Linked DNA regions of Diceros bicornis minor. The protein of the gene in region 2 purifies or fractionates together with the protein of the main gene of each other region. This does not show direct contact. Links are inferred from orthologs where the notes say so. Each region holds a gene or a part of one and is shown on either strand. Other genes may lie near its edges. The genes, in order: TIMM13, TUBG1, CCT8 and BAG2.

Region 1 (5,403 bases), on a different chromosome or scaffold from region 2:
CTACACCCGGGTGGCTGCCGTGAGAGGCTGGATCGGGCAGAACATCCAGGAGTGACCACCACGTGGCTGCCCAGGCCTGGGACGAGGGATGTAAAGGCAGCAGGAGCCAGCTGGCCGCTTGGCCTGAGGAGGGGAGGCCAGGTGGTCACAGGGGTGGGGGAGCAGCGTGTAACACGATGCAGTGTTACTGCATATTTTGTTCCAATAAACACAGCCCTTATCCCCAACCTGCTGGCTCCGCAGCTCCATGTCGCAGCAAGGACCATGTGCCTGCCCATCGCCCGGGGCCCAGAAGTGGGACGAAGGGTGGCAGGGGGAGGGCCACTCCCCTGGCCTTTGGGGCTGGGCGAGGTCAGCCTCATCTCTGAGGCCCCTTGGGTGTCAACACATTCCCCGCCACCCAGGAACCCAGGAGCACCAGGGAGAAAAGATGGGGGTGGGGGACCCAGGTGCCCGAGGCACCGTCTTCCAAGATACCCCTGCAGGGAAGACGCACAGGGTGCTCTCCGCCCCCCTCGGCAATTTATTTGTCAGCCCCGGGAGGTCACAGCTCAGGTGGGGTCTGATCACGCCCTCCCGGGTCCCAACACGGATTCTGTGTGCGGGCACGAGGTTGACCTGGGCACACTAGGAGCGGTGCCAGCACTTTGGGAAGTCCCAAGGCCCCCCGGAGACCCGAGCTGCGCGCGCTGGCAGGTGGGGGTGGGCGGCGGAGGGGGCAGAGTCCCCAGCGTCCCAGCACGGGTATCGTCCTCGGAAACCTCATAAACCACGGGTAGGCAGTCCGCACACGCTGGCCCCGCCCAGCAAAGGGCATTTATGAAAACAGACGGGGAGGGGGCGCCTGTGGGCGGCCCGGTCACATGTTGGCTCGCTCCCGCTGCAGCCGCGAGTTGTAGGCGCGGGACACGGTGTTCCAGGCGTCCATGTAGCGGTCCATGCACATGGCGATGCACTTCTGCAGGCGGGAAGGAGCGCGGCTCAGCTCGGGCCCGGGGCAGCGGATTGCGCACGCGCAGAGCCTTCCCTCCGCACCGCCCCTCGAGTCCGCGCACGCGCAGAAGCCGCCCTGCTAGTCCGCGCACGCGCAGAGGCCACGCCGCTAGTCCGCGCACGCGCAGAGGCCACCCCGCCGGGTCCAGGGTCCAAGGTACCGGCCCACGGCCCCCGCCCGCCTGCCCACGGGTCTCACCTGCTCCGAATTGTCCAGGGAGCCCCCCGGCTTCCCGATGCACTTCCGGAAGCACTTGTCAGTCATCCTCTGTGGGGACACGCGAGCCCTCAGCCGCGACGCCGCCCCACCGGACCCCCGCCGCCCCCGGCCACCGCCCCCGGCCTTGGCCCCGGACCTGCAGCAGCTCCTGCGCGTTGGCCACGGCGATCTGCACCTTCACCTGCTCCATGATGAGCCCCGGGTCCAGCTTGCCGCCGCCGGAGCCCGCGAAGTCCGAGCCGAAGCCGCCCTCCATGGCTCCGCAAAGTCAACCGGACCGCGGCCGCGTGCGCCGACCCGTACCCGCGCCGGAAGTCGGCCGCCCGGGGGCACCACGGGAAATGGAGTCCAGCCGTGCCAGGACGGAGACCGGCGGGGGGGGGGGGGAGAGACGGCCGGGACTACAGTTCCCACAAGGCCGCGCGGGCGGGAGCCGGCTGTTACCGGCGGAAGCCTGTTTCCCGAGGGGCGAAGAGGCTGAGCGGGGACTGGGAGCGTTCAGGTTCCGCCCCCGGCTCGCCCTGCCGCGCATGCGCAAGGGGCAGAGGGCGCGTCTACACTGCGCGTTCTGCCCGGGGCGGAGCCGGGAAGAGTCACGGCGTGTCATGCGGCCAAAAGCACAACGCGGCGTCCGCGGCGCCGGTAGAAAACGAACGCAGAAAACACGGGTGGCGGGTACCGCCAGGGAGTTAAGGAGTGGGGTCTGTCTACACTCGCCACTGAGATTTTTTTCTCTCAGTGGGTGGGTAGGTCTTAGACCCCCGCCTCATTAGGGGCTCCGGCAGCCCCGCGTCAGAGTACACTCAGAGGCAGAACTTAAAACCAAAATGTTTATTGAGTGTTGTACAAAAGGTTTCCAGTCATAAAATGTATATTACAAATCATCGGAGAAATAAAGACCACACGTTTGGCATGCATCGTAAAAACCAACCAATCTCTGAAATGAAGTCCAGACGGCGCAGCTGTTGACCCGACTCCGCTAGCGAGATGCCCTTGGGGGCACGGACTTAAGACCTTCCGAGTGGCTTTGCCCTCCTTGAGGAATGTCAGTCTCGTCTGGGCTGTGCTACTATAAATAGAACTCCCGGTCTACGTGCGCTGCCAACCACCCGAGTCGGAGGCCTCGTTGTTAGCAAAGGAGCTGAGAGAGCAAGTCCAGGTGAAGAGCCCTTAGTGTAGGCCCGGGGCGGCCTCCCCATCCCTGCATGCCCACAGGCAGGCCTCCCACCTTGCCAGGGCTGAGCCGGAGTCCGGTTTTCCTCTAGGAAGGGTGCTGCCTGGAGTCACATGATAGGGGCGCAGACAAAAGAATCATTTCCGCATCATTTTAAGTGGCTTAAAGCTAAGCATGTTTCAGGGCTGGTGCAAACTGTTTCCCAGGCCACAGCGACATTTTAACATTGGCTTCTGCTCCATGTTTCCAAATACTTGATTACCAACCACCACCAAATCACCAACCTCCAGTCACCACCTGGCCACACACGCAGTCCAGTGTAGCCTACTCCCCACAGCCAAGGGCACCCCAGTGGCTGCCCAGGCCACCTCCCATTTCCACCCAAGACCTTAGCCAGGCCCACCTGGGGTGCGGTAAGGGGAGAACAGCCCCTATCTGTGAGCCTAGGGGCTCTGCTAGGCACTAGGGGGACATCTGGGCCTGTGGGGAGGGTGGGGCCCGCTCCCTTCCTTCCTGTCCCTGGACCAAGCCGGAAAGACAGCAAATCAGACCCAAATTCCAGGACACAGCTTTGATCCCCAGAGAGTCCCAAAATACACTGAGGAGTGTGGCCCAGACCAGCGCAGACTCCTGCGTGTCTGGGGGCCAGCAAGCCCCACCCTCCCAGCGCCTCGTCCACACACTGTCCACACGGCTCCCCCTAGGCCAGGGCTCCCACTAAGCCAGGGCGGGAAGGGGAGGCAGCCTGCAGCCTCAGGGGCCTGGGAAGCACTCCCAGGAGAGGTCCCACACGGGGCAGGATGGTGCATGGCCAGGGCAGGCCACCACAAATGGGGGGTGTCTGCACTTTCCGTGAGTTGTTTTGGTGACACATTTCCCTCCACAGAGAAAACACAGCCCATGGCCTGGAGACCATAGAAAGATCCGGACTGAAAGCAAGGGGCTTCTAGCAGGTTCTAGATACAGCAGCAGCAGCAGTGTTTGTGTTGTCAGCCACTGGCACTTTCCCGGCCTCCAACCCTCCTCGCCATTAGGAATTCCCAAGCAAAGCCAGACACGTACAGGTGGGGCGAGTGTGCTGCCCAGGGCTAGCGTGACCCACGAGGGGCCAGTGCGGCTGCGCTGTACACGTCGCCTTCCAGGCAGCACGCCTCATGGCTCAGGGTTGCGTCTGTAAGACTTGAGCTGCACTTTCTGAAGGAGTCTGCCCTCTGGGGGCTCAGCTCACTGAGACAGGCCCCTGGATGCCAGCCCACCCCGGGGCACTGTCCTGGTGACCCTGGCATGAGCCCCTGGAGCGGGATCCTGGCAATCTGAGTACTGACCAATGTAAAAAAATAAATATCCATTAAAAAAATAACTTCTGTGTATCTAAGCAGGAGGGTGGACACGGGAGGCTAACGCAGGAGGGGTGGCCGGCGGCCAGGGCGGCTGCGTGGTGTGGAGCCGGCCCGCAGGAGGCAACGGGCGTGTCCCAGGGCCAGCACATCAGCAAGGTTAGACAGAAGCTAGGCTGTCAACAAACGCGTGAGGATCTACGTGGGAAACGGGGGCCAGTCTCAGCCCCGTGCACACGGCAGGGTGGGGAAACAGGGAGGGGCCCAGGGACTTGCCGTGAAGTCACCTTCCTCCTGCCAGGAGGGCGGGAAGTGGTTGGCACACGTGGACATGGTTCTGAACCCCGAGGCGCTTGCTTCTGAGGTTATCAAACTTGTCCCCTCACCATTTACCTGGCGACAAGTCTTAGAACGGAACTGTCCCCGTCCCCTAGGCTTCCTTCTCTCCTGCCCCGCTGGTCCCGCAGGGTGAGGACCTCACCTACAGAAAGCTCCAGAAACGCAAGGGTCAGGCAGCCAGAAACGGCAGGAGGCGGCCCAGCCCAGAGCACCCCGATCCAAGAGGGCAGAAACCTCGCTGCTGCCCACCGCCACAGCGGGAACTGCCCCCACCCCGGAGGGCCGGGTCGAGGTCAAACGCACCATTCCTCAGCGCTCCAATACCTCGTTTCCGGTTGGTTGAGCCACCAGAACTCGAGGGGGGTACGCCCCTGCCCCCCACCAGGTCGGAACCTGGATTCTGAATTTGGTTTTAAAAAAGCTTAATAAAACAAACCACTACTGGGGCCGGCCGGGTGGCGCAGGCGGTTAAGTGCGCACGATCCGCTGTGGCGGCCCAGGGTTCGCCGGTTCGGATCCCAGGCGCGCACCGAAGCACCGCTTGTCAAGCCATGCTGTGGCGGCGTCCCATATAAAGTGGAGGAAGATGGGCACGGATGTCAGCCCAGGGCCAGTCTCCCTCAGCAAAAAGAGGATGATTGGCAGATGTTAGCTCAGGGCTGATCTTCCTCACACAAAAACAAAACAAACCACTACTATTGAATTCCTATGCAGCACCGCTCTCCATCACCTCAGGGCCCCAGGGGCAGCTCCTCCCCGCCCCAGCCCCGGGGGGTCTGTGGTGGAGGCAGGGGCAGTGGGCAGCCCCCAGAGGTCAGCCCAACCCTCCAGCCGCCAAGCCCACTCTGCTAACCATGTGGTTCCTGGGCCTGGAATTCAACCAAATGGTGAAACGGGGCACCAGAAAAACTCTCCTGAACAGTGATGATGAGCGGAGGGTCCGAGGAACCAACCCACAGGAAAGATCGACAGAGACCCACCCCGACGGCCTGGCAGTTTGCTTAAAAATTCTCTAGAAATGTATCAAGGACTAAAGAGCGCCAATGGTATAAAAATAGTTTTCAGTGGCTCTGGGTAAAGAAAGGTGTGGGATGAGGCGTGTTCGTTCACATCACGCGGCAGCCTCGGGAGGTGGTCCTCGGGTCCCCCTGGAAGGAAGGACGGCAGCCGTTAATGAGCGGGGAGGCGGGGCGCACCCTCCTGGCTAGGCAGGTAGCTGGTGGTCCCCTGTCCCCGCCAGACACCGGCTGGACCAGGCCCAGGGCCTGAGCCACCTCAGGAAACTTAGCTGCCGGCAAGATGACAGGGCCAGCGGCTTCAGCCTCAACCGTCCCTGTTCC
Region 2 (7,017 bases):
TTGGGGCTCACCAGCTGGTTGATCTGGGAGAAGGAGGGGTTCTGGATGTGCAGGCGGTCTGTGGCGATCCGGTTCAGGGCTGTGTTGTCCAGCACCACCTCGGGGGACAGAAGAGGGTGACAGATTTATGGAGACAGAAAGAACAGCAGCTCTGCCTGAGCCTGGGTTCTGAAGCTTAATTTCCCTTGAGCCTCACAGCCAGAAAGACCCATCCAAAAGGGACTTGCACAGGACTGGGGCCCAAGAGGGCTGAAAGTGTTGAAAGAGACAGGGGGTGGGGGTGGGGAATGGTAGAATCCAGGACTCACCACACAGTCTGCGTTCTGGGTCAGCCTCTTGAGTGTGAGCAGCGAGTTGTAGGGCTGGACCACCACGTCGCTCATCTCGTCCTGGTTGGGAAACACTGAGTACGTCTGCACCAGCTTCTTGGGGTACCTAGTGGGGGTTGGGAGAAAAGGGTCAGGGCAACAGACTGGTGGCTTGGTGAACACGGGGCTCCCAGCAACTGTCTGGAAGCAGCTGATTTTGGATGGGGAAACTGGTATGGGGCCCCGGGGAGCAGTAGAGAAGGGAGACCTGACTTTTGGAAGTCTGTAACCCCAAAGGGGGAAGGGCAGAAAGACATCTTAGGATCTAGAGTTCCAACACCAAACCCCATACTCCCTGAACCTTCATCTCTTCATCTAGGGCCCAGATTCGAGGCTCCAGTTTCAACCCCTGGGAGTGTGATCGGGTTCTCAGTCACTCTATCTTGACTTTCCTCACTACAGAAGGGCCCTTTCCTGCTCCAGTGAATAGCAAGGTGTATCTGGAGGGCCTCCAAGTTACTTGGGAAACCAAGTCCTCCTAGCCCCTCAAAACACAGACTTACCTGTCATTCAGCCGTTCTAAGAGGTAGGAGCCCAGGCCAGAGCCTGTCCCCCCAGCGATGGAGTGACACAGCACGAAGCCCTACATGGGGAAGGGGCAGTCAGTGTCTAGGTATCTAGTGTCAGGATTTCAAACTGGACCCATCCCATAATTTCTTGGACTCCTATCTTGCCAAGTTCTCTCCTCCACTTCCCTCCCAACATATACAGCTGGGGAGACTCTGCCTTGTTTCCAGCAAGGCTTCTGTCCAGTGCAAAGCATACATGGGTGGGTCTTATTCCTAAAAGTGGCTTCTAAAGGGTGTTGCTGAGGCTTCCCTATGTCGGCTCCCACTACCATTCCTGAGACACACCTCCAGACTGTCACTGCCATCTGCCTCCCGGTCTATGATGTCAAAAATGTCCTCGTGGATCTTCTCTCCCTGTACAGATATGGGGAAGGTCAGAGCAAGACAGGACCATGGGACAAAGATTCTGACTCTCGATTCTCCTTATAGCACCTAAAAGTCTTTTTTTAGAGCACAGTGGCCCTGCTTTTTATTTGCATTGAGAAGCAGTATAGCACAGTGGTTATGGGCAGGCACTCTACATCCAGAAGGCCTGGGTTCATGTTTAGCCGAGGTGACTCTGAGCACGTTGTGATCTCTCTATACCTCAGTTCCCTCATCTGTATATGAAGGTAATAATACAGGTCCACTCTAAAATCCTTAAGGCCAGTTATGTTTCAGAATTCAAATTTTTCAGACTCTATAAAGGTAACATGGTACATATAATGTATGTTAAGTAAAATGCCAGTGGGAGTCTGAGGTGTGCTAATCAAATACATTAATATTTCTGTGATGAAAGGTATGAGAAATGACAGTAAATTGGATAGAAACTATAAAATAGCCTGTCTCCATTGAGATTGGGTTTTGTTGCTAAATGAGTTATAAATTGTCTTTTGGTTTCAGAGTTTTTTGGATTCTGGAAAGGTAGATAAGAGACTGTGGACCTGTACTACCTACCTCTTGAGTTGCTGGGAGGTTTAAATAAGTTAATATACGTAAAGCTCTTAGTACGGCCTGGCACACAGCACTAGCTAGTGGAGTCTCTTAACAATTTTACATAGTTGACTTAGAAAACAGAACTCCCTTAAGCCATCTCTCTCTCCCTCCAGCACTCATACATCCTTGATCTGGTTTCATCTCTCTCTGGGAAGTCATAGGGCCTGTCCCAACACAGGAAGGGTGTTGTGGGTCCTGCCAGGGAATAGCGAATGACCTGGGAGAATCCGCTGGCCCAGTTGTTGCCAGCCCCTCCTCCATGCTCTGACAGGTAGATGTTCTCTGGGTTGTAGAGCTTGGCATAGGGGGAGTTGAGGATGGAGTGGATCACCCGGGGCTCCAGGTCCAGCAGCACGGCCCTGGGGATGTAGTGCTCATCGTCTGCCTGTCAAGGGGAGTCCAGGAGGGGGCCCAATCAGCTAAGGCCAAGGCCCCCGTCCTCCCAGCTCTGCCTCCTCCCTGCCCTCCCTCCTCAAGCCAGCCGCCCTGGCTTCTCTGCCCAGCAGGTTTCCCAGCACCAGGCCGCTGCCTTCCCTTTAGGACCCCTGGCCAAGTCGCTGGGGGCACCTGGTAGAAAAAGACGTCCTTGCGGTCAGTGCCCTCGGTGGCAAACTCCTCCACGATGCCTTCGGGGCTGATACCATGCTCGGCGCACAGCTGTTTCCAGAACTCGAACCCAACTGGGCGGGGTGGGGGAGAGATGGACGGGGGAGAAAGAGGATACCTGGGTCTGGGCAGGTTCCAACTAGGAGCTTGGGGACTGAGCGCCTGGGTATAGAGACAGGAAGTCAAGCCTCAGGAGTCTCCCGTGTCAGAGGAAAGGGCTGTATGCCAGGACCGGGCAGGGGAGGGCCCCTCGGGGTTGGGCAACTGGACACTGGGTCAGGCATGTCCTGCCTTTCGGAGAACTACGATTCTGGGAAGGGCAGATGGAGTCCAGGATCCCACAGCGAGATCCCATAGAATCTGAGGAACCTGGCTAGTGGAGGGGCCGGAGGTTTGCTCACTCTGATTGCCGCACTGGCCCAACTGTAGGGTGATGATTTCCCTCGGCATCGCTCCTCAGGCACCGGCGTTGCAGCCTCTCCCGCCAGCAAAGCCGCCGCTAGCCAGCCCGCTCGCCGCACGACGCAGGCGCCAAACAACTCGCCCCGCCCACGAACTTTCTCCGCTCCAATGAGAACTGAGTTCTGGCGATGGCACTTCCTTATTCATTTGGCTTCAGTCATGCAGACTGCGCTTGCGCGGCTCCTGATCGGGCTGGGCGCAGGGGCGTGCTTTGACGCAGTGTTCTCTGGATGGACTCTCGTTCGAGTGTGTGCGCAGGCGCGTTGTGAAGGGAAGCAGCCTCCCCCGCCGAATCGCGCATCTGCGCAGTTGGTGTTATTGTGACTGTGGGGCCGCGGCCCCGGATGTTGTGGCTGCCGGGGGGCGATGGCGGAGGCAGAGGGGGTGGACGCGGCCCCAGGCCCAAGTTTGGGCCCGACGTTCACGGGCCGCCGCGCTATGTCAGGCTCCTGGGAGCGGGACCAGCAGGTTGAGGCGGCGCAGCGGGCCCTGGTGGAGGTGCTGGGGCCTTACGAGCCTCTGCTGAGCCGGGTGCAGGCAGCCCTGGTGTGGGAGCGGCCCGCCAGGAGCGCCCTGTGGTGCCTGGGGCTGAACGCGGCTTTCTGGTGAGAGAACTGGACCCTTGGAAACCCTCCGAGGCGGGAATTCGTCAGGTTTCTCTAGGGCTCTACCTCTCGCCTCCTCTGTTTTCTTCGCTGCGCTGGCTCCTTCCTGTACCTGCCTAATTTTGCCCCATCTCCTTCCACTTCTTCCCGCCTGCAGGCTTCGGCACCGCAGTTCTCCCCAGGTCTTCAGTTGTCTTCTCCGCTTTACTGCTCCCGCACCCTCGCCCCGCACATCAGGCAAGAGCTTCTGGTTACGTCTTGAGCCGCTCGCAGTGCGCGAGGGCGCCTCATTTTAGCCAGGGAAAGCTGTGTGCCTTGAAGGCCATAGCCTCCCTTCTCTTGTCTGCTCAAATGTGGTGAGGACTGTCTCCAGATTGTAGTAGTTATTATTGGGGTACACGCGTCAGGCGGTAGGTCTTGAAAAGGTATCCGGAGGTGTGATAGGAAAACCAGCTTGAACGATCTGAATTCGCGCGTTAGATCTTTCTTTCTCCCACTCTAGGAGGTTTGTGAAGTCTGAGCGTCACTAAGCGCGTCCAAAGCTGCAACTTGGAAGAAAATTATAAGCTTTTGAAGAACAGTTAGGAAATAGTGATTGTGCGATTTCACCCGTTTCAAAGCCTCTATGATTGCAACTCCTCCATGTTGCAAGGAATTAGCGAGGCATCCAGCCGCAGTTTATAGGCAAGGAAATTGAGGGTGTCTAATAGTGTGTAAGTTTTCCTGAGCTGGAAAAGTGCGGCTATAAATATGCTTTCAGAATCTGGATGTGTCATGCTCTGTGAAGATGAACTCCTGCTTCTCTCAGTTGTCATTACCTGGAGTGGACTTAGGTCTTCATAGGATCTGCCAGGCATAGTTTGGATTTATTCATAATTAGGGAAGTATTATTGATCTAATTCCAAGGGAGCTGAAGTATAGGGAGCTTCTACAACTGGATGAAATAAGGCTATTCTGGATAAGCCTGAAACAGCACAAAGTATGAGTTCGCAAAAAAAAAAAAAATTGTTTTTTGCTAAAAATAGCTTTCCTCTTGAAATTCTTGGTTTTAAAATCAAAACGTTTATTATTCTTTGTCTGAAAGAAGATTTTTAGTGAGCTGGAGCAAACCCAATAATTCCAAGTTCATTGGCAGGAAGACACAATGTTTAGCTGTTAAATTAATCCTCTCACAGTTTGAAGGAGACTCAGGTGAAAGGTGTCACAGCCATCTCTGACTTCCATAGTCTTTAACAAACTTGACGATAAACTTTTTCTACAGCATTCTTCATTTATTTTTGGTATTGCTTCTTCTTTGATCCCCAGGTACCTACTTCCGGTCTGTTGCTTTCTGTCAGAAACCCTTAACTGTAGCACCTCGTTCAGGAGTGTTTTCCAGAATGACCTTTTCTTCCTTTCCTCCCACCTCCCCATCCCAACCCCTAACCCTGGACCATCCAGTCAAAACTTCCTTTCCTACATTGGGATTGTACTCCTAGGAAAAAAGTGGGTCCTGAATAAACCAGTTTGTATCAAGATGTGAGTGGCTGATATATAAAATTCTTTTAAATGAATCCTGATAAGCCAAAGTTTTATTAATGCAAATGGATCAGTAGCATGTATGTTGTTATTTTTGAGGAGGGGACTTTCCACATGCCCCTTGCCTGAGAGAGAGTTTTGAAGTGGAATGTGGGGTTGAGGTCTGCACACAAGGAGCAGCTCTGCATAAGACACATCTTTAAATGTTACAGTTAGCTTTAATTTGCTGGCCCCCAACAGTGTTTACTTAAGTTTACTAATATGCTATGTTTAGAATCTCACTCAGATCTCCTTTTCCTACTCTGGGTCTCTGGAAGCATTGTTGTGATTGATCTTTATCTCTGGGATTTTCTGGTAGCTTGCGTGCTGTGTATCCAGAGCACAGTTACTCTTGTTATGTTCCCATCACACTTGAAATAGGTGGGGAGAGATACAGCAAAATGAAGGGTGCATCTCTTGAGACTGAAAGAGCAACTGGGTATGCCATTTATGGAGAGGACTTACACCTGTGAAGGGCACAGAATGACTGGAAGTGTTAAGTAAGGCCCCAGAGGCTAGGGTGGTTTGGCGTTGGAGTTCATGGGATTGTTTGTTTTAGGAAATGGGCTTCTTTGGGAGGTAGTTTGAAGTTCAAAATGAAAGTTAGACTTCACATTCCAGTAGCATCATATTGAATATGGGTGTTGACATTTCGCTTAGGAATGTCAAAGAGTGACTGTTTTGTTCTCAGACATTTTAAATGTTTAGGAAACATAGAAGGATCATTGGCTCAGGTCTGAGAGAAATCAAATCTGAAATATTTTATTTTTCTTTCATTATTTGTTTTGAATAATGATAAATCATTAACTGAGGTGTTTTATATATTTTGAGGTATTAGAAGATTGGATAGGAGTACAAAAAAATCATCAGAATTCAGGTAGGTAGCTCTTAACTTTCCATGTTCTGTATTCTTAGTCAACTGTACCTGTGAATGTGCCCTCTTACATCTTAAAAAAACAACAACATAAAAGACAAAGATAGATGTAGATGCCTTGCCACTGTAGTATTTCAAGGTTTTCACTCTTTTTTTTCAGGTTCCAGAGGAATTATGGGTATCATATCAGAGTTCTTCCAACCTATGTTGCTTCTATTCACTGATATGTTCTTGTCTCTAGGATAATAACAGAAATGTCAGGCGTTTCTCTCCAATAGCTTATATTTTCATTAGCCTCAACACCACCTATAAATGAGTGATTTGGGGGAAGAACAGCTGAGTCAGTGAGAGTGTATCCTCACAGGATCAGAAACGAACAGGTTCAGGTAACTTTTTGGTTTGACTCATACCTAGGAGATAGGGGAGGACAAAGGAGCCCTGGAAATGTGTGTGAACCCCAAGCCCTTCTATGAAGCGCATATGGTTCAAGGAGGGCTAGATGACTGCAAAGCTCCTTTCCAGTTTTTAACATTCTGTGATTCTAGATGATCTTTAAATTATTCTCTGTTGGGATCTGCTTTTACAGTCGCTAGTCTGAGTTAACCATACTATATTCTAGGGGATGTTATGGAATCTGTTGTTTTCACAATTGGAAAAAATAAGGTGTTTCCCCTCCCATCTCCGCAAAAATCTCCCCAAATCAATAAAATGACCTGAGAAATGATTAAAGGTATATAAAAATTCTTATTTGAAAGTTTAGAATTTGAATGAAAATGAAAAAGGAACAGGAAAAGGAAGGGAGGGCCCATTTAAGTAGAGACTTAGTGTTCTGTGAAAAAAAATCTACACATCAAATTTCAGATGAAATCTATTGAGCACACGTCTCTGATCATTGTTCTTGTTGCTTTTGGTAGCCAAGAAGATTCCCAAGGATGCCTTGGCTTGCTTTTTTTTGCCTCTCTTTTGCCAACAGTTTTTTATCTGTCCTAATTGTAAGGTTG
Region 3 (7,415 bases), on a different chromosome or scaffold from region 2:
GAGAATTTTCTCTCTTAAATTATAATGTCACTTTATGTAAAAGAACCGTTCACCATTTGTCACACTGAACATTAAGCACTATCTCAATAATGAAAGCACCATAATTTTTCTATCCTCTTAACAGCATAAAAAGTAACATTTTGATTCCTATTTTTCTAAAGAGATCTGAGTTGCCAATTAAAAACTGGAAACCCTATACTAGTGTCACTGAACTATGAAATAACTTTCAAAGCCACACTGTATTATGGCTAAAACTGTCACTTTATATATAATACCCTCAGAACAAGTTTGAAAGAGCTAGTACACAAAATTCTATTACTGTATCTTTTAAAACATGAATTTATAAATTACCATTTGGTCCATATGCTGTACGAGTTGTCTGGGCAAGCTCCTTGCAAGCCTGTATGTTCCTGTACACAGCCTCTTCTAGTCCTGAAAAATGCTGTAAAAGGAAACTTCTGATTAGACAGGACAGTGAAAACAAGAATTTATTCATCTGTAAAATGGGAGTAATAATAATAGTACCTACCCTCACAGGATTGTTGACTCGATCAAGCAAGAGTTATGTACGTAAAGCATGGTGCTTGGTATTCATAAATGATCCATAAATTTGCTCAATAGTTGAATGAACAAAGCATGACATTTTTAGGAACCACAGGTACCCACTTACACATCAAAATGCAGCGCCTATAATTTTTTTTGATGTAGTGAAAAGTGCAGGGAAGAGTGCTAAGACTGATTAGAGAAAGCATATGAGCTATTTCAGGTAAAAATACCTTTTCAGAGTTTACCAGTACTTTCTGACTAAAACTTGAAATGTGGCATGAATATTTTTCTTATTGTGTTAGAGCCTGAGCACTGTAAAGCCAGCAGTTCTATGTTCATTGGGAATTCCCACTTAACCTATCTGTCTCCAAAATATTTAGGGACTAAAGTATACAGGCTTTTGAACTGCAACAATTCCAACGTGTACATATTGAAAAACTGCTGAATCGCTCATAGTACTAAAATTCTCAAATTTTACACTGAGCTTTTTTTAGAGCTGGGATTTATTTGTGGCCTTAGATAGGTTTCATGAACCTAGTGTTCATGTGAACGTTTTTCTAGAGCTGCTTTGCCCAATACAGTAGCCACTGGCCACACGTGGCTATTCAAATTTCAAGTAATTAAAATTAAAAATTCAGTTCCTCAATTGCACTAGCCACAGTTCAAGTGCCCAGTAGCTACATGTGGCTAGTGGATACCATATTGGTCAGCACAGATACACAACATTTCCATCATCACAGAAAGTTCTATCAGACAGTACTGTTCTAGAGTATAAGGCACGGCTTTTATAACATACATTAAAGGGACTGTGATCCAAACAAGGTTAATAACCACTTTAGAAGCAGTGTCTTCAGCGACAAGAGTTGGACTCTTACAAGAGCACTCAGTGTGATCCCCTGGCTTACACTCCTACATCCCCCACCCCTGAGGAGCAGCCCTCAGGTCATCAACTAGATCCCATCAAACCCTTCTTCAGAAGTTTACCATCCCTCCCAGGATAAAATGTAAATCCTGCCTCAGGGTTACAAGGCCCTACATGTTTGGCCACTGCCTACAGCTTCTCTATATTCTTTTCTTACCATTCTTGCCCTCCCTTGGTGAGCTTCAGGCCCATCACCTTTCTCACTGTTTTCTTTAAAAAGGTCAAACTCATTCCATTTTCAGGGTCTTTGTACTTACTGGTCCCTCAGCCCGGAACACTTCTCCCTTTAATCTTGGCTGGTTCCTTCTGTCACCCAGAAACTGAGCTAAGAACTCTTCCCTGAACATCTTATTTAATTGTTTTATCTACCCTAAACCCTTACCTTTTTTTTGGAGGCAGACTTTCTTATTTCTTGTCATTCTCTACTACAGTACTGTTTGTTTCCTTTATCATTATTTGAAATCATCCTTGTTTATCTGTTCATTTATTATTTCTGCCTCAGAAGAATAAAAACTACGAAGAGTTCTCAGCCTGACTTTTTAAAAAAGTGAGCAACCGATGTCCCTTTCAGCAAACTTGTTCCACCAACATTTACATTAAACCCTGATATTTATTTAGTATACTGTTATCCCAAAGTGCATCCTGCCAACAAAAACCTGGTTCCCTAAAACTTAAGGGGTTGTTAAAAATCGCGCTCTTGAAATTACGTTCGAGATCTGGCCATAAAACAAAGCAGTTTTACTTACTTAGACCAGGGTGTCACTTACCCATGGGTTACACAGGTCAGATGGACAGGTACAACTTAAAGGTACCACCTTTTTGTCCAATCTCAATTTAAAGATGAGGAAAGTAAGACCCTGGGGGGTAAGTCTTACAAGCTACTTAACCTTAAATTGAGACCAAAACTCATTTGGGTTGTAAGTGTCTGTCCTACTACAACGCACTACTTCTGCGAACTAAATAGGGAGCCCCTCTGTTTCTCATTTGGAAGGAAGCTGCCAAGACCTGGCCCTTGTTCCTCTCCTCTCGGATCGCCCCATCCTCGAACTGCGTGTCAACCGGCCCCGCGGCTCCCAAAGCAATTTCACCTCCGTTATCCACCTTCACCCTCACAACACCCTTTAAGGGAGGAGAGCCTCATCAGTTCCGTTTCACGGATGGAGGGAAAACGCACAAGCGGCTTCACGCTTCCCCAGCTAGTCAGTGCAAAACGCGAATCCCGGGGCCTTGCCCCTCACCCGCGGCCTCTGCCTCCTCGATTCCCCCCGGGGTCGCACAAGAACGGAAACGCCCGCAGGCCTCGGGGGCCGAGCCCTCCCGAGAACACCTCCCTTTCTGGAACCTTCTCTTCCTCCGATCTCTGCGCCGGGGGAGCACGCTCGGCCCTTTAGTAGGCCCTGCTCTCTCGCGGCAGCCACCTCCCCCTCCCTTCCTCCATTCCTCACCTTCGCTCCTTCCTTGAGCATCTGGGCAAAGCCCGGGGCCTTGGGGACGTGAAGCGCCATGGCCAGTACGCAGGAGCCCCTCACGCGCTCGCTCGGAGGATCCGGGAGGAAGCGAGGGGCACGCACGGCCTGCTGGGAACGCAGCGTGCCGCGGCCTCACGCTCCGCCTCTCTCTTCAGCTGGGCCCGCCCTTTCCCTCAGCCTCCTGGTCTGAAACCTCGCGAGAAAGAGCAGTTCCCGCAGCCAGGACTGGGTTGACGATCCTCGATCAGGTCGATCGATCGGGCCGACGCAAGCGCAGGCGGCACAGGCCATTGTGGCTGGTTGCCGAGAGTGTCAGCCGTTGAGGCTCCGTGGCCGCGACGTTACGTTTTTGCCATTTCTGACCTAGAAGCCACGCCTCCCTCCTAAATTTAATTTCCAAGTTATTTTCCAAGCCCACTCACAACATCGGGGCAGGTGTTCACTTTTTTCCCGAGACAGGGCGTCTGCCCTCGTCCGGAAAAATCTGTGGCTGGGCGTCTGGTCTGTCTGGGGCTCTGTAGGAAGCGCTGGGGACGGGACGGTAATACTTAAAATCCGTAAGGATAACTACATGCTGAGTTCTCATATGTGCCAGGCTCTGTGTTATTTGCTTTACGTGCAAGACCTAAGCTAATGGTCAGCCTTCCGAGTTAACTACTATTATCTCCATTTGATAGAAGCGGAAACTGAGGTTTACAAATGGTAATTTGTCCAGGATCACAGCGCTAGTAATGTTAAAGCAAGGATTCCTAGCAAGATCAGAATGACTGCAAAATGCACGTTCTTAGTCACTGTGTATATTCCTCTTTCCTGCTTTTTCCTGGAAATATAAATCCCTTTTACTCTCCCCAGATCTTTTAAAACCTGATCTATATGTCTTCGCATGTCAACACGTGGCTGATTTCAAAAAGACTGAATGCTAATAGAGTACTTTTAAGGGTAATTTCACATTATGAAAATAATCCACTTTTCTTGCAGAAAATGCAGAAAACCCAAAGCAGAACGTTTTGGCTTGACTTTTGTTCTTTGACTTGGACAAGTGCAAATTACTTATTTTCTTTAAATTGGGACAGATTTAGTGTGCCATAAAACTGAAAGGGGCTAAAAATGACGCTTGATAAAATTTAATTAATTAAAAATAACTAAGGAATCAAATCTTGATAAGGACCATGGAAAATTAAACTTGAGGACAAACCAATTGATGAATCAAATTTCCATGGAAAGTTCGTGATAAAAAATTGATCCTACATTAATTTTAGTAAAAAGGAAAAGGAAAGGATTGAAATCAATTAAAATCTTCTGTATGATAATTTGTCAAGAAATTAAATTGATTTAATTGCTAAGAAGAATGTTTTTTAGATGAAAATTCGTTAATTTTGTATTATTTGGGTTAAACTGTGCATTCATAATTATAGAATCAAAACATCAAGAGCAAAATTTCCGCTGGATCCAAATAGTTGGTCAAATATTCCTCACCCAGAAAAGAAAAGAAACAATAATCCTGAATGTGGCTTCAAGGCCTAGGTTTTGGTGCCTGGGTAGCTCACATGTATCTTCCTGTCTTCTGGTCACAATAGCCTGAATAGTTCATCCTGTCTTTTACCGCCTCTGCATCAGGGGCTTCACCTCTACTCTTTTCTCTACCTAGAGTGTGCTTTCACCGCCTTTTGGTTGAGTTATATCTGCTTCAGTCAACATAAACTTTTTCCTTAGAAAGTCTTCAGTGACTCCCAAGTCATTCCTTGTTAGTCATTCTCATAACTTCTGTGCTTCTCCTTCATAGCACTTATTGCAGTTGTAATGACAGAATTATTTATATCTTTCTCAACCAGTAGGTAGGTGTTGTATTGCCAGCACCTATCACTGGGCATGGCATGGAGTAGAGTCTCAATAAATAGTTGTCAAGTGAACGAATGGATGACCAAATGGGTATCTAGAAGAGGAGACCAAAGAATCACGAGGTGTGGTCTCTATTTGTCTCATCCAGATGTACGTGCTGTAAAACCAGAGAACGTCACAAAGCAATCAAAAGGGTTGCCTAGGAGTTTGCAGAAGCCCAAGGAGACTGTAGGTTTCGGCTATTTTGATTCAAGAGCCCAGGGCCCTCATGTTAGGTGCCAACTGAAAACATGGCCTCCAGCACCCAGGAGAGAGCTAAGGCCTCGAAGATTGGGAGTGTCTGCCCCCTCAGCTCCCCATTCAGGAGGAACTACACTCTTGGTCTGGAGATGTCTAAGCCAACTCAGGACCCTGATAAGGACTCAGGTTACCATTTGTTTCCTGTGACTTTGTTTCTATTTTTCTCTCTATCTTTTGTTTGCCTAAAATTTTAACCTCTGTACTTCAGAATTATTTTAATATTTTTGCCTTGTATATGTGTTTTAATTTTTTTGGTATTCTTATTTAATTTTACCAACTCCCATCAAATATTTTCTCTTCTGACTTTTCTCCCTCCCCTGCATTTGTATTATTTATTTCATGTTACTATATCATCTTAGTTTTCACTATTTTTCCATCAAAATTTAATTCTTTCCCTTTGGCTTTGGATTTTATGACTCATTTTGTCTTGGCTTATTATTTCACTTCAATTTCTTTTTTTTGTGAAAATCTCTTAATTTTCCTTTATAAATTAAAATTTTTTTTTCTGTTTTAATCAAATTTCTTTGGGCTTAAGGAAACCCCCATTCCCTCTCAGAGTTTGGAAACAATTACCGAAGTGAAATCCGAGTCAGGCAGCTGGGATTCAACGTATCACTGGACTTTGGAGGATATGGCTTAGTGTGAAAGTGTAGACATTCTTGTCCGTGATTGCTGCTTTACACTGAATTGGAGTGGAGGAGCAGAAAAGAAGAAGAGAGACTTTTAAAGGGTTAACTCCATATAATAATTTTTGAAGTCCAGAAAGAAAGGTGGCCCCGTGTCAGTCACCCATTAAACCAGATAACTCCCTCCAATGGAGGGGTAAGGAGTGAAGCGGGAAGCCAGGAGGATTGGGGAAAACCAAAAGAGTATAAAGAAGTACTGTCTCCCAATGTAATTGTTATTTTTGTGTCTTAATTTCCCTGGAAACCTCCCATTCCTAGCCTTTTATCTATGGGGTGAGAGTGAGGTTGGGAGTTAGACTGGGCCTCAGACTGCCATGTTGATCCCAAAACTTCATGTAGTTTCTGTCAAGAACACGTGAGACTGGGCAACGTCAAGGCCAACTCCTGACTGATTTGGCTGGTGAAGATACAGGGAGCCACTTTTAGAATCAGTTTATTACTTACATTGACAGTGAGAGGAAGATTAGCCAAAGGTCCCAGCTCCTTGAGGTCATTGTCCCGCACATCAAAAGAATGACACTGAACTAAGAGGAACTAAGAGATTGTAATGCAAGTGGTGGGGTATCCAGTTGCTGAGGAGTTAACTCTGGACTGTAGCTGATCAGTTATATATTCTACCCATCTCTACTGCAGGGGGCTGGGGCAGGATGATCCACAGCCCATCAGAACACTGGAGATGATGAGAAACTGCCTCATCATCTTCCTATGACAACTTCCTAAGGGGCATAGGGAGGTAAGAGAGAAATTGCCTGGGAGAAGCTCTTCACAGGCCTCCTATCCTCTTGTGTTCCAGGAGGATCACAAGGCATTCTGCCAAGACTCAGATTAGCTCGGGGCAAGCCTCTGCCTGCTTGGTGTGTGTAGAAACATGCAAAGTTGCCATGGCACCTTGGCAGAGCCGTTCCCCTACAGTGCCTTGGCACTGTTTCTCCTTGTGGCTATCCTCAGAGGGCTCACTCTAGTGACGATTCCTTGTTCTCAGTGAGGCCTATCTTGCCATTCCACCATTTGGATGCTTACCCTTCCTGCCCACTCTTCTGAAGTAACACCTTTCCAGCCACATGTTGCAAGAGATCTCACACCCTTTGGTTATCCTCTGTTATTTCCTGACACCTATAGAATATTGGCTTCCTAAAATATCACCAAGATAATATGTTGATGAGACAAAGCTGAGTTTATTCTACTGCAATCAGGGAGAGCACTACTTTGTCAGATTCTTAGTAGCATCTCAGTTGGGGGGTGTGTGTGTGTGCAAAGTTAGGATATTTATGAGTTTTTGAAGTCCAGTTAAGGAAGGTCTTTCAATGTAGGAGCTTGGGAAGTTTGAGTAACGATCATGACATACGATTGATGGGCATAGCAAGGTAAGGATTTTGAGGCAATGGGTTCAAAGAGTCTTGAGGTGTAAACTGTCGTTTGATGCTTTCTATTGAACAGTTGATGGATCTTTCAGGATGCTTCTGGAATGAGCAATACAGTTATTTGCAACTTTTATCTTCCTGGGCCAGTGTTTCCTAGAATAAAGTTATGTTGATGAAGACACTGGAATAGCAAAGTCATGCTAATGTAGACAGCAAGCTGTGTGGGTATAGATGGTTTCAGTTGTCATTCCTGACACTTTTTCTAGGGACAAAGAGGATCCTCTCTAGATGA
Region 4 (7,597 bases), on a different chromosome or scaffold from region 2:
AAGTTACTTAACACATTAAGCTCATTTATAATATAATTCAGTTTGAGATTATATCCAGATTCTCATTTTTAAAATACGCAAATTTTATGATGGAGAAACTGCCAAGTTATCCTAAGTTTCTCCAGTTTGTATTTCCTTTCCTTCTTGAAAAGACAGATGTAGTTGATGAGACTTACATAAAGCACATGTTAATTAGTTTTCTGCCCTAAATATTAAAATTCTCTGTTTTTTAATGCAGATGTGGAATTAGAAGAAGCTATTAGAAGAAGTCTTGAGGAAATGTAATTAAAGATATTACTGTACAACGTCAAGTGACCTTGAAGAGACTCAGGATAATGAATTCTTGAGTTTGTTTTCTAAAGGAGACCAGAAATCTACTAGTACAAATGTATTTGCAAACATGCTTTTTTGCTTTTACATGTTGAAAATATATTTGCTTTGTATTTTTGTGCTATTTTGCAAAAATGTACAGAGGAATAAAATACATGTTAATGCAAATATAAATCATGTATTCTGTGTCACAGTTTCCCAGTTAACATTGAATTCGTATATTTAGATTAAAAGAATTTAAAAAAAATAGAAAAGCTCTTGACTATTGTTTATATGTTTCCCGAATGGCAGTAGTTCTTTAATTTTGTTTGTACTGTACAGATGATTCTGTTTTATTTTTTTAGGAGTGAAAATGAATATAAATAAAGCTGTCATACCCCAGTTTTTCTGTCAATGCCACTTATCGTGGCACTAATAATATATAATATTTCTGAGATCTTTGTCTATGATGATTAGAAGAAAGTAATGGAAACTGATCATGAAACAGATTAAAAATTTTACCAGCAGAGTTCTTGGTGGATTTCACTCAGATGTATAGTCCTGCTTTAATTAGAGCAGCACATTGCTGGAATAAAAAAAAAAAAACAACAAAACCCTAACTTCTTTGAAATTATTAAAAAGAAACCTTTTCCATTCCTTTTACCTGCTTAGACTTTTATGTGACTTGTATTATCTACTGTTGAAAGAGAATCGTGAAAATATTTGCATAGAGTTAAACTTATTTTTAATAATGTTGGTCCTTTTTTATATATATTTGTGTAAATGTAATATTCTTCAAAAAATAATGTAGACAGTCTACTCAGGAGTAATCTTCCTTAACCCTTTACAATTTTTATTTCATATGGAAGTATCTTCACTTTAGTTATTCATTAAATTATCAGTTTCCTACATTTAGTGTTACATATGTAATTTTTAAAAGTTGAGGCCCCCATTGTGACTAATAAAAAATATCACATAATTAGAAGACTAAGAAGGGCTTGTCAAACTATTTTTGTGTATATGTTTCATGTTATTTGACCAGAAATGTCATCCCTAAAATTTTGAGTGGTAATTACTTACCAAACTTAAAATTTTCTATAAATATAAGTTTTTCTTTAAGACAAAAAAAATCATGGCTAGAATTTTGTTTTCTCTGCAACTAGATATTTTAGTGTGAAATAGCATTACTGTTTTTTTATTACTATAGTCTTTTTCAGTTCACATTAGAAACCATTTTGTGTTTTTATTTCTTAAGATGTCAGTTCTGTACTACCTGCTTGCATTTTTTTTAAGTAGACCTCACGCTTTGAGAATTTACCAGTCATTTTTCCGAAATGACCACATTGTACCTTTAATTTGTATGTTAAAGTGGTCAAGCAAGGCTTTAGGAGGTAGTCACTAAGCCAGACCTTCAAGACATCTGCAGAAGCTTCCTCAGCAGTGAGGAGCAGAAAGGACGTTCCAGAAAGAAGAGTGCTTAAGCAGATGTAGGGAAGAGGAAACAACACGTCTTTGCCAGAGGTGCCACACATAGGTGTGATGTACACTGACATTCTATTAAGCTTTTGTAGTGTAGAGAGTAACTGAAGCTTTTCATTTGACAGGAAAGGAATATTTCATCGTGACCTTTAAAAAAACGTAATTGGGTTGTTTACTGTTTTACTTAATAATTGTCACTGATTGTATTTCTACTTGTTAAGCAATTAAAAATCATTTTTAAATTACTTCATAATTTGAACTTAATTTAGACACAAGGGGGAGAGGTAATCAGAGGATATTACAGAAAGTTATATGGATTATTAAATTATCAAAGTAAATGTTTTGAACATTGACAAAGGTGCTTATCTTTTTGTTACTTCATTCATTCATTTATTTATTCATTCACTCACAAAGTATTTACTATTTACCATGTGCCAACGACTGTGTAAGCACTTGAGATATACCAGGCCCGTACTCCTCTATGGAGCATACACGTGGCGGGGGAGTGGGGTGTGTGTGCGTGCGGAGATAGAATGATAGAAAAGAAGCAAGTATATCTGATAGTGATAAGTGTAATGAAGGAAAATAGGGAAGGGAAAGATAAATAGTGCTATTTTTAATACGGTGGTCAGAAAGGATGACCAGGTGAACTTGAGCAAAGACCTAAAGAAGGTGAGGGGTGAGCCATACAAATATGTATGGGGAAGAGAATTCCAGGTAGAGGGTGAAAAGGTCTAGAAGTGAGCTTGATCTGTTCATGGAAAAGCAAGAAGGCTAGTATGCCTGAGCAGGATGAATTAGGAGGTTAACAGGAGAAGTCCTTGAGGACTTTCTGAGGACCTAGGTTGGCTTTTACTCTGAAATGAGGAGTCTGAAGGTTTCTGAGAATAAGTCGTGTGATCTGCCTTATCTAGGAGGATACTGTAGTCACTGTACTGAGAACATACATGAGAGGCAACAGTAGAAGCATTAAGACCAGATAGGAGGGTAGTGAAGTAAGCCAGGTGAGAATTGATGGGGGCTGGGACCGGAGTGGTGGCACTAGAATTGGAGAGAAGAATCTGGATGTAGTCTGAAGGTAGAGCTGACAGGATTTACTTATGGATTGGATCTAGGATATGAGAGACAGAGAGTCCAGGATGATTCCAAAATTACTTGATAGACTTTCAAACCATTGACAAAATGTCTTTGGATTCCGAGTTTGCTTCGTGATATGACAAAATATGTTTGATGAGGTCAAATAATCCCCTACACCAATAGTTTATTAGTATTTAGATTGAGTTCAGAGCTGTTGACAGAGGAAAAATTCACTGAATTCAAACAGCAGATATTTATTTGGGCAATTAGAATTGCAATTTAGGGAGCACAGATCCAGGTAGAAACCCAAATAGTGTCCCGATTACAGGAGAGGCACTTGGGTTTTATAGGGAAAAGGGAGGAAGATGAGGTAAGTTGTATTAAGGAACAATTTATTAGTGCTAGATGAGGTAAGGCTAGGTTTGTACTTCATAATTGGTTAGCCATTTGGTCATCAGCAAAGTCCAATTTCATCAGTCCCTACAAACGCGATATTCTTGTCCTTACTGACTTCTTGGAATGTTGGCAGTTTGGTCCAGTTTGGAAGCTAAAACAAGACTGCAAGGCAATTCCTCTGAAATGGCTGCTCTGGCTCTATTTTAATATGGCTCCACTCATGTCATCTTTCACAGAGGGAATCAGTATCCAGGCTTAAGGGCCTCATCTCTGTTCAAGCATATAAATAACTTGGATCTCAGATTAAAGGTTGTGATTCACCTTAAACCATTATTATGTATCATTTTATGTGCCTTGTACATGCTCATCCTCGCAGTATGAGGCATGTAGTTATAATGAGATGGGAGCAAAGCACAAGTTTTTAAGTAGATAATCTTTGTACTCCCAGCCGTTTTCCACTTCTGCTGACCTTTATGGTGTCTGACCTAGTGGCCTACTGCATCTTTTCATTCTTAACAGATTTAAATAAATTGGGTGTGAAATGGCCTTAATACCAATTATTTCACTCAAATGCCAACAGGAATAATTTCTTAATAGGAAAAGTCAAAAATCCCTTCAGCAGAATAGGTGGAAATAAGGGAAATTCACCTTGCTTCCTACTACATCCAGATAGAGCAAGATGGGGTAGTTTTTCCTTTTTTCCTCTATAAGCTTCAGTGGGGTGGTGTCCAGGTTTCATTCTTCTCATCTCAGGAATGTGACGAACAGGACAGGTCAGGCGAGTTTAGACCGCCTAGGAGCGGTCCTCAAATGCCACCTGTTCCACAAAGGGACCTCTTCTCCCCACATCACAGGACTTGAACGTTTCTGTCTGCTGTGAATTACTGGTGCCGGGAGAAACCGTGGGAAGGCGTCTCTGAGTAACACACCCACCCTAGCGTTGGCACCTTCGCGCGGGGGGAGCTGGTGGCATCAGAGGGCCGCGGCCTCACGGGGCAGGGATGGGGGGTGTTCCGTGGGTCTCCGCATCGGTTTGTTGTGCCAGGGCCGGAGAGAAGGATCCGGCGACACGCTGGGTCCTCCCCTTTGTGCGCCCGTCCCGCCAGGTGGCTCGGAGGCCCCCTGGCTTCGCTCCTCAGGCCCCGGGCCCTGGCGGCCCACCCCGAGCCCCCCTGGCCGGCGAGCTGCCCCGGCCCCGCGGCCGGCGCGCCTGCCCTTGTTTGGCCACGCGGCGGCGGCGGAGTCGGCGCGTCCTCGGGCCGCCCCCCGCGGGCGTCAGAGGGGCGGGCGCCCCGCGCGGTGACGGCGACGCCTGCGGCCGCCGAGCTCGCCACTCGCGCCGCCGGGGAGCCCGGTGACCTCTCGGCCGCCCCGCCTCGGAGGCTCAGATGGCTCAGGCGAAGATCAACGCGAAAGCCAACGAGGGGCGCTTCTGCCGCTCCTCCTCCATGGCCGACCGCTCCAGCCGCCTGCTGGAGAGCCTGGACCAGCTGGAGCTCAGGTGAGCGGCGGCCCGGGCCGCGCCCGGCGTGGGGGTCCCGGCGGCTGGGCGGCTTGACACGTGCTGTCGGTGGAGACGGGGCGCTCTGCGCGGCGCGGCTCGGCTCAGAGCGCGCTCGGTTTAAGCCACACCTGCGCGCGCGTTCCTGTGGCCACGCTCTCGGGCAGGACGTGAGCGTTTGGGGGCCGAGAACAATCAGAAGATGCAAGTTCTGGTGACGTTGGTTCGGATTAGGGACTGTGACACTCCAGGTCTCCAGAACTTCTAGAACCTTCTGTGTGCCGGTATATGGTCTTCCCAGATGTTTTTAACTTACTCTTTTCCTATTAGGCATTTTTAAGAGAGGCAGCAGCTTAGTGGTCCCTGATGTGAATGATCCGTTTCTTTGCTCCAGAACACTTAAGAGCAAAAATTAAAAATCCAGGAATCCATCTGATGGCAAGGATTAGAGAGGAGGAGGGCAAACGAGGGGCTGCGGGGGGACGGCAGCTGGGTGCTTTGTGGAAGGAAGACCCTGCAGCTTCCGTGTCGCCTAACCCCGCATGCGGTGCCCAGCCCTTCCGTTAGCCTCACGGTGGATTGTGCGCCTCCGTCCACAGGAGACTCTGTGCCGCCACCTTCTTGAAAGTGCCAGTCACTGGCCTGAAAGCACAAGATAGTCACAGGTCCCCCCCCCAACTCATTAAGATTTTATTAAGTAATTAATATAGTCGTAGGCTTGTATAGCATTTCTAAATAATGTATGATAAATTTTGGAAACACTGTTCCTTTTACAGGGTGTGGAAACTTTTATGTACTTTCTGTAAACATTTGTCACTAAAGTTGTGTAAATGTGTGCAGGTGTTGTTAAATGAAAATCTTATTAAGGCACCCACAATCCCCTGAAACTGCACAGAATTTTTTTCCATAGTTTTTACCGGCTTCTGGGTGAGCAAAGGAGTGTGTAAACCAACAATTTCAAAAAGCAATGCATATATGCCTTTATCCCCCTCAATTAGTGTACCAGAACAAGAAGAGGTGTCTATTTGCCAGGAAAGAGCATTAATAACCACAGTATATCTCAGCAAATGAGGCATTTATTATTATCATTACCCGGAGGAAAGAGTCAGAAAATGAGAAATTCTCCCTCCACAATGATTTCATGGATGGCAACAGATAGAGAAACCAGAGCCAAAACCACGTTCTGGGGTTCTGCTCAGAATGAGACACATGGAACAGCAGCAGAGAATTGCTTCCCCGTGGTTGAGCCTGCTGCATTCCACCCCCAGAAGAAGCAGGAGCAGAACTAGAGGTCCTGCCCTCAGCTGCTTAACTTCCCTCTGATAATATTTCCCTTTCTGTAGCAGCGTAAGAGGTAACTCACACGTCTCCCCCAGGGCACGTCTCCCCCAGGGCTTTACAACTTTGAGGGCATGTTCTCCACCAATTCAGGAGTCTCTCTCCTCTCAGCAGAAAAAAAGGATTTTTTTCTTAAAGGAATGAGGAGGATGTTGCCCCTCCTTCCTTCAAGCTGAGTCATTGTCCTCAAACTTGGATTAATTTCTCACATGTGGTAGGTACAAAAACAGTCAAGTGCTCACTCATCTTGAAAAGAAAGCCTCTGGTTTTGAGTATTTATTATAGTCTAGTGTTCGACTAATGTAAAATGAATTCTGATTATTGTGTACAAGTGATTAAATTATAATTTGCTTAACTAACCCTTGACCTGAGGAGTATCAACCTACAAAAACAAAACCCAGTTTACGAGGCAAAGCATTTATTTGGGATCGAAGAATTGCAATTCTGGTAGCACGGGTCCAGGTAGAAACCCAAATAGTGTCCTGATTACAGGAGAGGGGCTCAGGGCTTTTATGGGAAAAGGGAGGAGGACAGGTGCGTTGTATTAAGGAAGAGTTCACTGATGCTGGATGAGGGAAGGCTAGGATTGTACTTCAGAGGTTGGCTCGAGATTCGGTCATCAGGCAGAAGGCTAGACTTGTGCTTCGTTGATTGGTTAGTGATTCGGTCATTGGCAAAGTCCAGTTTCATCAGTCCCTACAAACGGGATATTCTGGTCCACACTGACTTCTTGCAATGTTGGCGGTGTGGTCCAGTTTGGAAGACGAAGAAAACAAGACCGGTGCCAGGCAATTTCTCTGAAATGGCTGCTCTGCCTCCATTTTAATATGGCTCCACTCACGTCGTCTTCCACATTAGGAAGGCCTGATCAATATGTGTCTAATTGGTCATTTTAAGGACTTTTCTAGTAATTTTAGACTTTTGTAAGCTTTGTTTCTTCCTTTAAAAAAAGTAATACTGACTGGAAACTAAGGAAGTGTTTCAGAAGGCAAGCAAAAATAGAGAAAAGGCTAATGCTGATCCATTCAAGTCTGTTTGAAACCACGGGGGCAGTGGTCCAGAGCGCTACACTGTTCAAGACTAGAGTCAGGCCTAGAACATCAGTATTTAAAAGAAAACATGATATTTGTCTGTAATTTTGCTCTAATAGTTTAACTTCATGTTACGGACGGCTGATCACGCCGCATACGGGGTAGAGTCAGCCGGTGCAGTTGGCACTTAGAGGCTTGCATTTACTGCTCCCCAGCCACACTAGTTTTGTCAGCTGTGGTGAAAACTTCTTCCATATGAAACTGAAAACAGAATTATGCTAAATGCTTTATGACCTGGCCTGTGAACTGGTGTACCTGATGTTTAAAATGCTTTAAAATGTTTGGCAGCATTCTACAGATCGTTAAAGAAATTCCATTTGTTTCTAAACTTGACGACACTAGCCTTTCTTTTTTGACTCCAACCCATCTCCCTTTTTGCTTCCTCCTAAAAAGGCGATCCTTCCTC

Evidence for each region.
Region 1: the proteins of TUBG1 (region 2) and TIMM13 purify together in Homo sapiens (affinity purification with mass spectrometry; 3 studies listed by BioGRID and IntAct, with this or other methods). This does not show direct contact. The link is inferred for Diceros bicornis minor from reciprocal best matches to the Homo sapiens genes TUBG1 and TIMM13.
Region 3: the proteins of TUBG1 (region 2) and CCT8 purify together in Homo sapiens (affinity purification with mass spectrometry; 3 studies listed by BioGRID and IntAct, with this or other methods). This does not show direct contact. The link is inferred for Diceros bicornis minor from reciprocal best matches to the Homo sapiens genes TUBG1 and CCT8.
Region 4: the proteins of TUBG1 (region 2) and BAG2 purify together in Homo sapiens (affinity purification with mass spectrometry; 3 studies listed by BioGRID and IntAct, with this or other methods). This does not show direct contact. The link is inferred for Diceros bicornis minor from reciprocal best matches to the Homo sapiens genes TUBG1 and BAG2.

The regions. Positions count from the first base shown.
Region 1 is NW_026691553.1:1,706,415-1,711,817, forward strand, and holds TIMM13 (mitochondrial import inner membrane translocase subunit Tim13), read right to left. Parts: upstream 1,516-5,403; 5' UTR 1,470-1,515; coding exon 1,350-1,469; intron 1,262-1,349; coding exon 1,193-1,261; intron 959-1,192; coding exon 860-958; 3' UTR 501-859; downstream 1-500. Other genes in the region: TMPRSS9 (transmembrane protease serine 9), read left to right, coding at 1-55; LMNB2 (lamin-B2), read right to left, coding at 5,170-5,211. UniProt on the Homo sapiens protein: Mitochondrial intermembrane chaperone that participates in the import and insertion of some multi-pass transmembrane proteins into the mitochondrial inner membrane.
Region 2 is NC_080757.1:41,682,217-41,689,233, reverse strand, and holds the start of TUBG1 (tubulin gamma-1 chain), read right to left. Parts: upstream 3,023-7,017; 5' UTR 2,969-3,022; coding exon 2,920-2,968; intron 2,593-2,919; coding exon 2,480-2,592; intron 2,298-2,479; coding exon 2,130-2,297; intron 1,292-2,129; coding exon 1,223-1,291; intron 952-1,222; coding exon 872-951; intron 436-871; coding exon 309-435; intron 99-308; coding exon 12-98; intron 1-11. Other genes in the region: RETREG3 (reticulophagy regulator 3), read left to right, coding at 3,347-3,585. UniProt on the Homo sapiens protein: Tubulin is the major constituent of microtubules, protein filaments consisting of alpha- and beta-tubulin heterodimers. Gamma-tubulin is a key component of the gamma-tubulin ring complex (gTuRC) which mediates microtubule nucleation.
Region 3 is NC_080766.1:29,950,534-29,957,948, forward strand, and holds the start of CCT8 (T-complex protein 1 subunit theta), read right to left. Parts: upstream 3,020-7,415; 5' UTR 2,974-3,019; coding exon 2,914-2,973; intron 443-2,913; coding exon 352-442; intron 1-351. UniProt on the Homo sapiens protein: Component of the chaperonin-containing T-complex (TRiC), a molecular chaperone complex that assists the folding of actin, tubulin and other proteins upon ATP hydrolysis.
Region 4 is NC_080753.1:10,219,845-10,227,441, reverse strand, and holds the start of BAG2 (BAG family molecular chaperone regulator 2), read left to right. Parts: upstream 1-4,579; 5' UTR 4,580-4,649; coding exon 4,650-4,762; intron 4,763-7,597. UniProt on the Homo sapiens protein: Co-chaperone for HSP70 and HSC70 chaperone proteins. Acts as a nucleotide-exchange factor (NEF) promoting the release of ADP from the HSP70 and HSC70 proteins thereby triggering client/substrate protein release.